Linked DNA regions of Tamandua tetradactyla. The protein of the gene in region 1 binds, or shares a complex with, the protein of each later gene. Links are inferred from orthologs where the notes say so. Each region holds a gene or a part of one and is shown in the gene's direction. Other genes may lie near its edges.

Region 1 (7,647 bases):
TGCTCTTCTCCCATCTATCCTCCACACTAAAGTCAGAGTTTTGGTTATTTTTTCCTAACAGTTAATTTTTTGACTGTGTAATATGTGCATACATTCCAAAATAAAAAAGTTACAAAAGGGTATATTGGGAAAAGTGCATCTGTCTTTTGCCCCTGACTCTTGGTCACTTCCCAGAGGCACCTATAGCTACAAATTTCCTGGGTGAAAAAATGTATTTCTAAAATGCATGTGCTTTACATCTTCCCATGGTTCACCACTGTTTACAAAATAATGTGCAAACTGATAAGAGCATAACAGGACTTTCAAGACTCAAGATTTACATACTATTTTCTCTAAGAAATCCATCTACACCTTCTTTTGTAACCACTTGAATTTCTCCAAATAGTCTTAAGCTCCTTAGTTCTGGGAAATTGCATATGCTTTTCTCCCTACTTGGGATGCCTTCTCCAATTTCCCCAATCTCCACGCCAACTTTTTCTTTGAGTAGAAAACTTCATCTCTTAATATTCACTCATAAGATATTCAAGCTAAAGACTTTGAAGACCTCTAAAGTTAAAGGTTTAGCCCTCTCTTCATTATGATCTTTCAGGATTATGTTTTAGTTTGCCATGCTTAAAATGGCAAATACCACACAATGAGTTGGCTTAAACAATGGGAATTTATTGCCTCACATTTTTGAGGCTAGGAAAAGTCCACAATGTAGATATGAGCAAAGCTTCCTTTTTCTCCAAGGATTGTATAGGTTCTGGGGCTGACTGCCAGCAACCTTAGGGTTCCTTGGCTTCCCTATAACATTATGATGTCCTCTTCTTTATCTTCCAGGTTTCTCCTGACTTTCAGTTTCTCATTAAGGCTTCCAGCAATCTGATCAAAGGCCTGCCCTCATTCAATTGGGCCACACACTCAAAGAAAAGCAACATCTTTAACAAGACCTATTTACCATGGATTCATACCTACAGAGATGTGGATTAAGATTAAGAACATGTTTTCTTTGGGGTATAAAACTCAGTCTATCCCATCCACCCTCTGGACCCCCAAAACACATATTCTTCCCACATGAAGAATACCTTCATTGCATCAAGATACCTCAAAAATCTTAAGCCATTTCAGTAATAATTCTAAGTTTAAAGTCTCGTCAAAATTAGACATGGATGGGGGTGAGAGGGTAGTTCAGCTGTGGAATTCTTGCCTGCCATGCGGGAGACCAGGGTTCGATTCCCAGCCCACATACTTTCCAAACAAGCAAAACAAACAAACAGAAAAGCCAAACAAAAACAAACAAACAAAAATTCAACAAATGGTGCTGCAATAAAGGGATACTCACATGGAAAAAGAATGACATGTAACCCCCGCCACACTAGCATACAAAGAAAAAAAAAATTAGACATGGATGTGAACTGTCCTGGGGCAAAATTCCTCTCTGTGAAATCTAGCAAACAAGTTATCTGTTTCCAAAACACGATGAGAGCAGAGGCATGGAATAGTCCAATTCTAGAAGGGAGATATTGGAAGGAAAGGAAAGGCCAGAGGTCCCAGGCAAGTCCAAAATCCATCAGGGTGAATTATGGCGAATTTCAAGCTTTGAGGGTTATCTGTGGATAGATGTGGGTGTACTGAAATGGCAGCCCACTCTTTCCAAGTGATTGTGCAGTGGCCATCTGCACTAGGTCTCTGTGCTGAGACCTAGTTTCTCCCCAATCAAATATCTGCCCCCAAACTGGGGTTGTAGACCGCACTCGCTTTAAGTATTGGGGTACAGCTGAACTCTCCCCATGTGCTGGGGTGTAAAACTCAACACTTCCAAGCACATGGGCAGAAGGCCTGCCACCTCCAAGCATAAGGACAGACCCATCCATTAGGCCTACACCTCTACTTCCATGACTCTACCACTGAAGTCATTCTTTTTTCAGTTTGTCCATACTCTGTTTCTTTTAGTCCACTGGAATGTTCACCTGGATAGTGTAGGGTCTAGCAAGCTATGATGACCTTAAGAAGAAAAGACTAAGACTAGACATACCAGCCTTAAGCTCTGGAGGGCTAGAGAGGAAGCAGATGACAACCAATTACTCAGCTCTTCCTCAAAGGAAGTTCTACACCAAGGTATTGGATCAGCTGGGTATGTTTTTATCAATGCTAAGACACAATGTGTCTTCTTTGAACTAATAAAAGTTGAAATACTGAAGTTTGCAAACAATTTATCCCCACCCTCACTTCAGTTAAGGTACAATGGATTCAAGGTTACCTCCATAATTTTCCTCCTGCTCAGTTACATTCCAATATACTTTGTCGAGAAAAGGGGCAGATTTACAACTGATGGGTCAGGAAACCGGGTATAAACCACAGTCTACCTTATCTATTCTTCCACCCTAGAAGAATGTCCGGCAAGTGAACATTATCTATCTTGGGTGGGGGGAAAATAGGGAGAACTGCTATCTTAGACCATGAGCTCCTCCAGGGCAGAGACCATGACTTTTCATTTTGTTTCTTTCTCCTGTGTCTGGCAGTTATCAAACTTCAAGAAAAGAGGGGATGAATATTTGGGAACAGATCAATAGGAGGTTGGAAAGGAGGAAGGCTGGAAATAGTTGGACATTTTTGGGGGGTACAGGGAATCCTGCTCAGGTAAGGCAGATGTGTGGGTTGTTTTACCACACACGAAAGAATGAAGGAAATAGAAAAAGCAAAGGAATAAGGAAAGGAGGCTTATTATTTACCTTCTTGGGAACTGGTAGATGTTTATTGGAATCAGGTTTTTAACTCAACATAAGAAAACAAACAAACAAATCAGCAACTAAAGCCGCTTAACCAGGCATTACAGGAGAGTGGAGAAGATAACCTTTAAGTTCCTGCCCAATCCTATTTTCCATGATTCTAGGTTTTGTTTCCCCCTTTCACTGAATAGTGGCATTTAATGAATATTATTAAATAGATTTGCAACCTGAAATAACATCAGAGCAGAAACAAACTGATAGTTAACAGAATCCAGAGAGCAATTTGAAGAGATCCCAAATACCTGAGTTGTAGAAACTCAAAAGGCAAACAGGGTAAGCCAAAGAAGCTAGAGAACGAAAGTTACAACAGTAACCCCTGCCCACTCCCCAAATATCTCAATAATCAACAATTTCTGAACTTTTGGGCCTTCAGTATATGTGCAGTCCATAGTACAACAGAGACTTGGTTATCTGAGCAAGTCTACTTGGAACTGTTCTCTATTTTGTGTACTTCTAAGCTCAAGGTAGGAATGATTGCTTCCTCTGCAAGTATTCTGCTTTGTACAAAGCAGTGTTTAATGCACATTCCTTTGCTTTCATAAATAGAAAAATATATGTAAACCAGGAGAGCTGGGTAGCTGATTTTTGTTGCAAAGAAAAATGATATTTTGTCTTTTTATTTAAATACTATTTTCATGAATAGCACAACTTTTTGCCTACTGATAACAGGCCTAGGTGCTATGACACTGCAAATATGAGAGCACTTAACTGTTTTTTTGATGAGATACTTGATTTTGCTCCGTTAGAGTAGCATCGAGTAAGAAACTCACTTAAATTTCGATACAAATAGACATACTCTCCTTCTTTTCCCTATGAAATGGCATGATTTCATTCGTATAGACAACAGACGGTCTCGTTTATTGCAAGTGTAACAAACATTTGTCGATTGATCTGGCCGATGTAACTGTAAGCCTTGTTTTCAGGCCAATGAAATTTACATTTTGCTGATAATTTAAAAATGTGAATTCTCATATTCCAAAAGGGCTGGGTAACAACCCTTCCCCCACTACTTACATACATCCTCAACCTGCTCCCAGCAGCAGAGCTTACTTCGACAAAGTCTACTTGAGTTGCCCAACAACAACTTCCGCAAATAAAAGTACAAAAGAGCAGTGGGGAGAAACCACAAGACGGTGCAAGTGAAAACTCCCTACGGCTTCCATAACGCATCCCAGAGGAAAAGATAAAAATAAAGTTTAGAAATACAGTGGCAAAGTCGTGTTCAATCCAAGCTACAGTAGTAATAAACCACGCATCTGCATCATTCAAGCGAGATTCCCGGTGCACAGCTCCGCTTTTGGAATCACACTGGGAGCAGTCCCCCGGGAGCCTGGAGTGACCACAGCAGGAAGAGACTCCACCCGGGGGGAAAGGAGCGGAGGGGCCACCGCCTTTCTCTCGCGCGCAGCCCCCTCCCGCGAGCAGATGGGCAGGCGCCCGGGGCCATAACGATGCTGGGCGAGGTAAGGGGTACTGACGGTGACCCCGTCCAGCGACCTCCGTTCGTCCCGCCAGGGGGCGCGTCTGTACACAACAGCCACTGCGTGGACCAAGCGGGTGGTGGTTTGTTCAGGTCTGCGGCTCCCCTCGCGCCTCCCCGCCCACCCCCGGCGCGGCACGGCCCTGCCCGCCCCCTCCGCCCCCTCCCGTAGCGCCATGCGCAGACTCAGTTCCTGGAGAAAGATGGCGGCAGCCGAGAAGCAGAAACACGACGGACGGGTGAAGATCGGCCACTACATCCTGGGGGACACGCTAGGCGTCGGCACCTTCGGCAAAGTGAAGGGTGAGGACCCCCGGGGCAAGTTTTGGCCCCTGCTCGGGATCCCGCCGACTTCCGCTGTTCCCACCTCCTCTTCTTTCCCGGTCCCCCTGCGCTCCTCGTCTCCCTCGCTGGACAGCCCCTGTCCAGGCTCCGGCCAGAGCGGGGCCCGAGACTGCCGCGGGACTGCGACGCGGCCCCCCAAGGCCGGGGTGGGGTGGGGACCGAGCTCCATGGCGATGGCGCCGCGGCCAGAGGGGGCTCGTCGGTGCCAGGGGTCGGGTTGCGGAGGTGCGAACTTTCCCAGGTGTGGAGTCGGGGAGTTGCGAGGCGCGCTCCCAGTGCTGGGGGTGAGGGGTGGGGACGGCGCCGGGGTGCCTCGCCAGGAGCCCCACGGAGGTGGCCTCCTGTTCGTCCCGCGCTGTGCTCCTCTGGATCACGGCCAGCCCATCGCTTCCCCGGCAGTCCTGGGCATTGTCCCTGTTTCCGTCTTCTTCAGGCTGTGGACTTATCTGCTTCTGCAGATTGCCGACTGTGAAATGTGTTCCCCGAAGAGTGAGGTTGCTTTTGGGAGGTAGCCTACAGAATTACAAAAACAAAACAAAAAACCATCCATCTCGTCGAGGAGGATCCTTGATTTCCTTTGGAGCAGTTAATGAAGTTCTATATTTGCAGTGTATGGTTTACGTTCTGAGTGCGGACACCGCGCATCAGTGTTTCTGAATTATCAGGATTTTCTCATTCTGTGTGCTGAACCTGCTTGTTGGTGCAGATGTTTCCTCCAGACAGTAGTTATTGGTTCGTTTGTATAGTTCATTTCCATTTATTTTCACAGAATGTTACTTCTATTTTAATAAACAATTTAATGTACATCATTGAACTTTTTTTAAGTGGTAGTTTCTTAGCGCTTTTGTTTCAACACAGTATTATGGAAATAACGAACGTGCTCTCCAGTTCACTAATTCTGGCACAAATATAATTGCAAAATGTATGGGGCATTAATGCTTTTTTTCTTCAAAATTGTGACTTTGGTTATTAGAGATGTAGATCAAATAAGTATGAAACTTATAAAAAGAATTTATGAGAAAGAGAAAAAAAATTTATGCATTGGTTTTGGATAGACTATGACTTGCATATATTTACTAAGCACCTGGCAAATATTTGACTTGAAAGAAAAAAGTGGTTGAATGTCTGTACAGTGAATTAAGTAACAGTCTTACTCTCCTGGAGCTAAATAAACATTTTCTGATTTTATCTAGAGTTGGAAGAGGAAAACCCTTCCTTCTCTTGCCCTTTCTCAGTTATAGAACCAGAAATTTGCTGTGAAGTGTACAGGGAAGCAGCTGCCTACAACTGCTTGTGAAAATCAGCAGGGCCAACAATGTAAGGAAGTAAGAAGCAAATGCCAGAATAGAGTAATAACATTCATTAGAGTGGGTCTCTATTAGACTAGTAATGTTTCTGAGGCCTCAAAGTTATTATTTTGGCCCCATCTCCTTAATTTTAGCAATTACTGACTGCTCTTTAGTTTACTAGTACTTGTAAGAAATTCTCATTAATGTCCCACAAAGATGCCGGAACCCGGAGTTCTGTTTGGATTAGGGTGTTCTTCATTCCCCTAATTTAGACCTGAATTTGATCAGGTCTCATTTTCTTATTTGCTAAGTGGCTTTTGGCATGGCAGGTAGGAAGGCAAGAAGAGATTTTTCATTTTCTGAATTTGATCTGTGATGTGGTTGTGACATGGATTCTTTTATTCTGCTGTCCCTTAGCCTTTACTTCTCCTTCTCCCTCTTGAAGTACATACTCTATCAAGTCAATAACTTCACCAAATATAGATAGACCAATATTGGTCATAAGATCAGAGGTTTGTGAATAAAGGTATGTTTGTTCATAATACGTTAGTTGATGTTCAAAATCCTCAACCAGTGCATTTTTATGTTGTTAAATAGTTAGGATGTTTTTTGTCATGAGTAAGAGAAAATGCACCTCAGAGTAGCCAAGAATATCTTTTCAGAGCAACAAAGTCTATTATTTCTTGAGTGAGTCTCACTGGCTTATCCAGTCCCTTTAGCTAGGGATACCAAGTGCTGACTGGCTTAGGCTTGTGTTCCTAAGTAGGAATTAGCAAGGGGAATGGCATTACTCTTGTAGGAATAGGGTTCACTCTGGGATGTGTGTGTGAGGACATCTTCTGAAGTACTTGGATAATGTGTGTATGGGGCGGGGTGGAGAGGCAGATACCATATATATTGCTAGGATAGAGAAAGGGGAACATGGGTGCTGGGTGAGTGGGCAAAAGTAGTGATCATAGTGGTGACATTAGTAATTTATACCAGCCTTAGTTTGACAAGAATTCTTCTGAATGATAGGTTTAGTAATTTATTTCAATTGAGACACTTTGGAATAGATAGAGCTTTTAAAATTTTCTTTTAAACTTTCTTTGGTGTGAAATATATATACAGAAAAGCAGTAAATTTCAAAGTACATTTTAACCAGTAGTTATGGAAGAGATTTCCAAGTTTGATATGGGTTACAGTTCCACAATTTCAGATTTTTCCTTCTAGTTACTCCAAGACACTGGAGGCTAAAAGAAATACCAATATAATGTAGCAGTCATATAATGTAGCAGTCATACTCATTGAATTGTCTTTTGTGTTATAATGCCTCTGTCTTCTTTGATATAGATAGAGCTTTTAGAGTTAATTATAAACATTGATAAATTTAACATTAAAAAGAAATCTAATAGATATGTTATTGAAAAGCAAAAAAATTCTCAATATGATCTGTGTTTACAGGAAGTATTTTTGGGAGAAGAAATCTATAGATTTTTTTTTTTTCTGTTATAGGCAGAAACAAAGCAAAACAAAATAAAATATGAGACATGTTCCCTTCTTACCACTTGGCCCTAACTTGCTGCCTAGAATATATGTCATAGCTGTAATTCCATCTCAGGCCATGAGTAAAGACCATACCCAGAGGATGGCGAAGTTGAAAGTTGGAAGAAGCCTGGGTTCCTGAGGATTTTGTGGAATAGGTCAACCTTACTGTCTGTCTGGATTGCTTACCTCTGAACTTTTGCCTGAGAGACATAAACTTTTAGCTTGTTTAAGTCAC
Region 2 (8,114 bases), on another chromosome or scaffold:
GGGGGAAATAAGCAGGGTGGTGTGGTGGTGGTTTGAAATTGCATGTACCCTAGAAAACCATGTTCTTAAATCTAATCCATTTGTGGGTGTGAACACTTTGTAAATAGTACCTTTTGAGGAGAGTACTTCAAATAAAGTATGTCCCACCTCAGTTGGGAAGGGTTTTAATACTACTACTGGAGTCCTTTATAAGAGAATGAAATTCAGACGGAAAGAAAGCCAGAGGAAGCAAGAAACTGAAACAGAACCCGAAAGAGAAGGAAGCGACCAGGAGATGCTACTGTGTGCCCTGCCATGTGACCGAGGAACCAGGGATCACCAGTAGCTGCCCCAGAGTGCCAGTTTTACAGAAGAGAGCTTCGTCTTGATGATGCTTTGATTTGGAAATTTCCCTGGCCTCAAAACTGTGAACGAATAACTTCCTATTGTTTATTCCGACTCTTTTTCATGGTAATTGCTTAAGCAGCCTAGAAAAATAAAACAGGTGGTTTTAGGGTACAGCAGAGATGGGGTGCATAAACAGAAGTGGCAGCAGTGCCTAGTGGAAGTGGGGAAGGCTGGGAGACTTTTTTTTGTAAATACATGAGGTTGCTCTAGGAAATTCTCATTGGTAACCCAAGGAGGCTCTATAGGTCACTAGGATCCTGCAGCTGATGACAAAGCAGTGAAACTGAGTTTCTACTGTCACTGTGATCCCACTCTAAACCCCAGACAGGTGTGCCCTGGAGAAATATGATTTCATTCAGGGTGATGTCCTTGAGTCATTAAGGAAAGATACAGCTATGTTCACTGCATGTGTTAAAGAAGACAGAAAATTTACTTTATGTTAACAATTTCAATATTTTTTAAAGTTGAGACAAAAACATAACCCTATGTGTGGTAGATCATGTAGATGGCTGCAATAATAACTCTCGTACCACATGCTCTTTTATGAGTGAGCTCACCACTGTCTAATCAAGAGGTGAAGTCTATTTCCCCTCTCTTTGAGTTTGTGCTGGCCCTGCTACTACTTTAGCCAACAGAATGCGGTGGGATGGATATCCTGGGTCTTCTAAGCTTTTAGCACTCCGAGGTAAGGCAACCACCATGTCAGAAGTCAGACTAACCTGAGACTGCCATGCTATGAGATAAACCAAGCTAGACTCATGGAGAAACAATAAAGAGAAAGAGATGCCCAGTCAGCCCCTTGCTGTTCCAGCCATCTCATCTGAGGCACCTGACATACGACAAAAGAAATCATCTAGGACATTTGAGCCTCAAAATATACCACATGAAGCAGAGATGAACCATCCCCACTGATTGTTATATAACTGTGAACAAATAAATGATTATTGCTATTCTAAGTTAGGTTTGGGGAGCTATGGAATAGAAAACTGAAACTCTGCTTCAAGGAAAACCCATATGCTTTAGTTTGTAAACTGCTGGAATGCAATATACCATAAACAGAATGGTTTTTAAAATTAGTGGGGAAAATTCTGGACCTGTAAATTGGGTCCCTCCTCCTTTCATTGGGCAGTGCATGGCCTTCACTACCACTTCTTAGTTTGTATAAAAATATAAATTCAATGGTTCATTTTTAAAAATAATCAGTTTATGCAATGGTCAAGCAATCTTTGTATAGAAACTTGTATCTTTCCTCTTGCTAGAACTAATTTTGATAATTATATTAGGTTGGACAGATTGTTTTCATTATTTTATTGAGGTATGATTTTCATACAGTACAGTTTTGACAAACACATATATCACTGCAATCAAGATACTAGAACTGTTCCATAACACACCCAGCCCCCCCAAATTCCTCATTGTGCTTTATAACCAACCACACCCCCACCCACAACTTCCAGTCACCACTAATCTGTTTTCTGAACCATAGTTTCGCTTTTTACGAATGTCATACAAATGGAATCTTACTTCTTTTGTTAGTCTAATGCATTTGAGATTGATCGATTGTGTTACCGGTATCATTTTATTCCTTTTTATTGCGGAATAGTGTTCCATCGTATGGCTAGAACACATTTTATTTATCAGTTCATTACGGGAGGGAGTTTGTTTTTGAATAAAAACAGGTAAGTCATAGTACACATAAACATTTGTGCACAGGTTTTTACGTGAACCTGTTTTTATTTCACACAAATAAATACCTAAGAGTGGAATTACTAGGCTGAATAATAAGTGTATGTTTAATTTGTAACGTTTATACAAAAGAGCCGATTGCTTTTTGAAATGAGAACCACCAAGACCAGAGGTCACATCCATTCTTGATCACAAATGAGGGGTGACCCCTGGTGAGCAGAGATGGGATGAGAAAATCAGGCCCTCAAACCAGTCTAACTTTTCATCTAGTTCTGTAAAATCAATACACTCTTCCTCCAGCCTCACATCCTCACATCTCAGAAGAAGCAGGACAACTTTAGTACCTTTACTGTGCTGTGAGGCCCTCCCATGATTTATTTTTCTCAATCTGTGAGGTAGAATGGCTCATCAGAGATCTGGCAATGCCTTTCTAGATATAGCAGTAGCATGGGGACCCTCACCAATTACTTTGCCTATTAACTATTTCTTTTCCTTCCATCCTGAAAGAAAATGGAGCATTTGAGATAACAGCAATAAAACTACTGCCATGGTTTAGGGGTGCTTCTTTACCTGGTCATCCCTGAGTCTAATCAAAAATAATAATCGGGGGCTAGGGAGAAGTACCTAGCCCTTCCTACAGTGTCACACTGCTTTCGTTTTGTGTCTAAACCATGCACTATGCAAAGAGGACTTTTATTTTTAACTGTTGATTGATTTATAAATGCTATTAGTGCAGAACAATGTCACGGATAATCCCCCCAAAATAATAATAATAGAAAACAGTTCCATTTGGTTTTGAAATACGGTAAATTGTAAACAGTTTATTTCTCTTCTTAAGTTTTCCATAGATTAATATAATACTAGGTTTGCTTTTCCTAAACTCATGGGACGATGGCATGGATATACATATTAGGGACACATTTAGCATGGAGAAACTAGAGTCTGAAAACTAATTCATACACAAGTCAAGATTTAATGTATTATTCCTTCAAGGGACTTGAAGGAAAGCCTGAAAGGAACTAGGGGGATGATGAGCGTTAATCAAACAGAAGTACTTATCAAGATTTAGAAGGAAGCTGTAGCAAAAAGGGTATTTTCTTCCTGCAAACTGCCTTTGGTCAAGAGTCAAAGGAAGTCTGACTGGAGAAGGGGCATACCACAGAAGAATAGGGGAGAAGTGGATTCGTTGAAGTAAAGTGAATTTCCAACTTCATATAAAAATGTATTTTTCCACCAATAGAGCTGCTTACTCAGAAAATGCAGCCTTGCTGTGGCTCGGTGGTCCCCATCATCGGCTGGGTTTAAGTAAGACATATAGTGATCATTTGCACACTTTCTTGCGCAAATCTTTATTAAAAGCTTACTCTGCACATGATTCCGTATGGATCATGAACAGGAATCAGAACTGAGCCTGTTCTGCCGGTTTTGATATTTTTAATGTGCCTACACATACCAGGGAGATGTTAGAATGCAGACTCTGAATCTGTAGGTCTGGGATGGGGCCTGATTCTGTATTTTAATCCGATTCCAGGCGACACTAATGATGTCTGTGGATCACCAGTGAGCGGCAAAGGGTTCTAGTAGGAAATGAGACATGCATATAATTATAATTACAATACAAAGCAGTAATTAGTCACCAGCACAGAAGCTCCATTAATTATCAACAAAAAGCTAAGACGGTCTTTGCCCTTCTATGCAACCACTGTTTCTTCTGTTTTCATTAATGCTGTTTCTTCACTACTGTTCCTTCTGAGGCTGCTGTTGCACTCGCCTTAGCCTACAACAGCCTTCCCCCTCCTCTCCTTGGACTAGCATTTTACTTGTTTTTCAAGGTCTACTCCCCTACCACTCCTTGAAGCCTTCCCCGGGGCCGCAGTCGGTTAACTGCCCTTTCCACTTGTCGCTCCAGACACCACCCAGCGTAAACCTGGGGCCGTAACAACGCTTCCTTCTGCCGGGACGCGGAGGCCCGCTTTCTCATTCCCCGCCCGAACCCGACTTCCCAGCGGTCGCTCATCAGCAAGACACCGCCCAGAAAACGCTCCGGAGACCGGCAGCAGGCAGGCCCGACGCTCGCGGCATGGCGGGCGTCCCTCAGCGCCGCCGTCTCCTCGGCGCCCCCGGGCCCTGCCCCCACCGGCGGGCGGCTCTGCCGAGCGGCCCATCATCCAGCGGCGGCGGCTAGAGAGGCAGCGGGACCCGGCGCCGCGAGAGGCGGCCTCGGGGAAGGGCGAGGCGGGTCCTGCACGGCGGGCCTCGCAGCCACTTCAGGAGGAAACCCGGGTCCTCGCCCTGGGCGGTCTCATCTGCACAGCAGCCATCGCACCAGCGGCCCTGGAGGAGGGAGAGCATCGCGGAAGGTGATGGCGAGCGGGGGCGCCCGGGGGCAGGGAGCACGGGCTGGCGGGGGCGCCCGAAGGCGGCTCCGGAGGAGGAGGGGCCTGTGAGGGGTCGGGACGCCCGAAGGCGGCTCCGGAGGAGGAGGGGCCTGTGAGGGGTCGGGACGCCCCAAGGCGGCTCCCGAGGGGGAGGGGTGAGGGGAGGGGGAGGAGGAGGAGGGGCCTGTGAGGGGTCGGGACGCCCGAAGGCGGCTCCCGAGGGGGAGGGGGGAGGGGAGGGGGAGGAGGAGGAGGGGCCTGTGAGGGGTCAGGACGCCCCAAGGCGGCTCCCGAGGGGGAGGGGCCTGTGAGGGGTCGGGACGCCCCAAGGCGGCTCCCGAGGAGGAGGAGGGGGAGGAGGAGGGGCCTGTGAGGGGTCGGGACGCCCCAAGGCGGCTCCCGAGGGGGAGGGGGGAGGGGGAGGAGGAGCCTGTGAGGGGTCGCGGCGCCCGAAGGCGGCTCCCGAGGAGGAGGAGGAGGAGCCTGTGAGGGGTCGGCGGTTTCCGGCGCCTGTGGAAGCGCGTCCTGGCCCGGCCTCGGCCGGCCTTCCTCTGCGGGGTTCCCCTCGGGCTCTCGGCGCAGGCCCGGCCGAGCCGTCTCCATCCTAGGTGGGCCCCGCGCGGCGGCCATGGGAAACACCGCCAGCGAGCGGCTGTCCGGGGAGCGCCACGGCGCCAAGGCTGCTCGCGGCGAGGGCGCGGGCGGCCAGGCCCCGGGCAAGGAGCACCGGATCCTGGTGGGGAGCACGGACGACCCCAACGTCTTCAGCCTGCCCGACCCCAAGGTGAGCGCCCCGGCCTGCGCCGCTGCGGTGCGCCTGGTTTCGGGGCGCCTCTTCCTTCTCACTGGTCTGGGTTGAGGGTTTTTTTAATTAGACAGATTTTCTGGCTGGCCTCTAGCGAGGCAGCCTCAAAAATAGCATAAAGAGGTGGAGTTATTTTCCTGGTTTTCTGACCAATCTGTGGCCGCCTTTTAGGACGGGACTAACAGACCCCCCAGACCCCTCGTTCTTCTGGCGGGCCTGGGGGCTCTTCTGGAGGACTGCTGAGCTGGACATGGTTGCGGAGCTGCTGCGCACAGGCGGCAGTTCTCTGCCCCCGAGCTGGGGAATGGAGCTCAGCGCCTCTCCCTCCGCCGCTCTGGCCGGGCTCTCAGCCGGAACCGTGCTCGTGGAACCTTTATCCTGTTGGAGACCAGTGAAGGCCGGCCACACTGGTGACTGTCCACTCTCCACCCTGCGCCTTCGAGTGGGGTGCCGAGGCAGTGCTGCTGCCGCGTCCAGGCCCGCGTGTTCGCGCGTCTCGGCTTCCCCGCAGTACCTCGGCGTGGCCACGGCTCAAAGAGACCCACAGCTTCCCTGGAAGGTGGTGACTGCCCCGTGCTTGTTACCATCCTGATGCCTCCGTCCGTTTTGGAGTGGTTAGCATTGACTGTCGGTCCTGCACCCCGCTGGCCGCCTCGGGGGGGGGGGGGGGGGATGGTGACACGGGAGGGGGGGAGGTGGCGGGTGTTCGGTGACTCGTCCTGCCCGCCCGCTGCCCCCGAGCCGGGCTGCCGAGAGTGGAGGCCGTGTCTCCAGCCACACTGGTGGCCTCTGAAATTGGGAGTCCGTGGTGCTGGTATTTTCTTGGATCCTGATTAAGAAAATAATCACAGAGAGAAACGCATTTCTGGGGGGTTCTTTACCCCTCCTTTTCTCCCTGCCCCACATCAGGACTACTAAATCCTTTAGGCTGTCTACACAGCCATTAGATTATACTCAAGGTGACGGGCCTCATTGTATTTTTAACCTTTTCTTACGCTGAAGACTCGGGATTTAAGTTTTTTTTAAAACTATGTGGCCTTAATTAAAGCCACGCTTGCTGTCTTTGAATTAGGGTCAGTTTTGGATCTTTCTTTCTCTCACCGCAAACTTGCTATTTGTGAAGTAATGGAATTATTTTAAGTAATTCCTAAGGTCTCTTCCAAATAAAATTCTGAAATTCTGAATCTGTCTTCTTCATTTCTTGCCTCAACGTTTTTTTTACTTAAACGCTTTCAAACTCGAGACTAGTTGTTTTGCTTCTGGGAAGTTTTGCTGACTAACTTGGGAGTAAACAGTCTTTCTGTTGTCGGCTGTCCTCGTGCCTCCCTCAGAGATGCCGTGTCTTACGGGAAAGGGCCTTTCTCCAAAGCTAGGCATATTAATAGTTTATGCCTTCATATTTTAAATGTAAAATCCAAAGGCATAAAAGTAACTGATAGAAAGGGTGATAGTGAGAGTCACTAAGGCATTGTCAGCCTTCCTTAGTTCGGTAGTTCCTAATTCTCTTTGTACCTTTACATAAGCCAATACCTTATATAATTGGAAGTTTTCTTCAGTTCTCTCTCCATTTACTTTGGATTGTGTTTCAGAGTGTAATTTTGAGGAATATCAAGAGACAGTAGAGAAGGTAAGCTACTGCAACCATTTTGGAAGGAAAGCCCAAATGAATAAGTCATCCTTTTTTTGTTTTGTGTTCCAGTAAAGTTTTATTTGTGGACACAAATGGATTCCATATCATCCTTTATTTTTAACTAACATTATTTTTTGTGGTAATTTTTTTTCCTTTTCTATGAAAAGTAATATATATACAAAAAAGCAATAAATTTCAAAGCACAGCACTATAATTAGTTGTGGAACACAGTTCAGAGTTTGATATGGTTACAGTTCCACAATTTTAGGTTTTTACTTCTAGCTGCCCTGAGATACTGGAGACTAAAAGAAACATGAATTTAATGATTCAGCACTCATACTCATTTGTTGGACCTACCTTCACTGTATAACTCCACCATCACATTTGATCTCTCTCCTACTCTTTAAGGGTATTTGGGTTATGCTCATTCTAACTTTTTCATGTTGGAAAGGTCTGCCACTAATATGGGATAGGGAGATGAAACTATCTGATGTTCTGGAGAGGCTGGGCCCTCTAGGTTTCAGGACTTATCTGGTCCAGGGACCCATCTGAAGGTTGTAGGTTTCTGGAAAGTTGCTCTAGTGCATGGAACCCTTGTAGAATCTTACATACTGCCCTAGGTGTTCTTTAGGATCAGCAAGAATGTTTTGGTTGGGGGTTGGCAAGTTATGATAGGTAGTAATGCCTGACTGAAGCTTGCCAAGAGTGACCTCCAGACTAACCTCTAAACTCTATTTGAACTCTCTCAGCCACTGATACTTCATTACACTTCTTTTCCCCCTTTGGTCAGGATGGCATTGTCGATCCGACAGTGTCATGGCCAGACTCATCCCTGGGAGTCATCTCCCATGCCTCCAGGGAGACGTTCACCTCTGGAAATCATGTCCCACGTATTTACCTATTTACTAAAGCTATTTAATCCAGTCTAAAGAGGGGATTGGCAAATTTTTTCTGTAAAAGTCCAGATAATATTTCAGACTTTGCAGCCATATAGTCGCTGTATAACTACTCAGTTCTGTGGTTGTAATGCAAAAGCCCTTGTAGAAAATATCTAAGTAAGGAGTATGACTCTGCTTCATTTAAGTTTATTAACAAAAACATCAGGCACATTGGTTACTGTTGCCAAGTCCTGAGGTAAAGGATGATAGTGAAAAGAAACTAAGGAGTTGATTGTTTTCGGAATCGTAGAAACCTCATTTCATAGTGGAAATGCTTTTCTTAAACCGGA

What was found. Proteins that work in one complex are often made in the same cells at the same time.
Region 2: the proteins of PRKAA1 (region 1) and PRKAB2 are in contact, whole or in part, in a crystal structure (PDB 4RER), measured with the Homo sapiens proteins. The link is inferred for Tamandua tetradactyla from reciprocal best matches to the Homo sapiens genes PRKAA1 and PRKAB2. Residues at the interface, in NP_006242.5 of Homo sapiens: Gly20, Val22, Lys40, Lys42, Asn59, Arg60, Gln61, Lys62, Val69, Arg73, Val93, Ile94, Ser95, Thr96, Pro97, Ser98, Asp99, Ile100, Met145, Met175, Ser176, Asp177, Gly178, Glu179, Phe180, Arg199, Leu200, Ala202, Pro204, Glu205; in NP_005390.1 of Homo sapiens: Val80, Arg82, Ser84, Ser108, His109, Asp111, Ile115, Ser138, Asp159, Phe160, Glu161, Val162, Ala165, Leu166, Ser182, Ser184, Gly190, Gln191, Glu192, Met193, Tyr194, Ala195, Phe196, Glu199, Arg201, Lys203, Ser204, Pro205, Pro206, Ile207.

Annotation. Positions count from the first base shown.
Region 1 is NC_135335.1:90,938,754-90,946,400, reverse strand, and holds the start of PRKAA1 (5'-AMP-activated protein kinase catalytic subunit alpha-1), read left to right. Parts: upstream 1-4,395; 5' UTR 4,396-4,427; coding exon 4,428-4,554; intron 4,555-7,647. UniProt on the Homo sapiens protein: Catalytic subunit of AMP-activated protein kinase (AMPK), an energy sensor protein kinase that plays a key role in regulating cellular energy metabolism.
Region 2 is NC_135330.1:95,843-103,956, reverse strand, and holds the start of PRKAB2 (5'-AMP-activated protein kinase subunit beta-2), read left to right. Parts: upstream 1-4,901; 5' UTR 4,902-5,079; coding exon 5,080-5,235; intron 5,236-8,114. UniProt on the Homo sapiens protein: Non-catalytic subunit of AMP-activated protein kinase (AMPK), an energy sensor protein kinase that plays a key role in regulating cellular energy metabolism.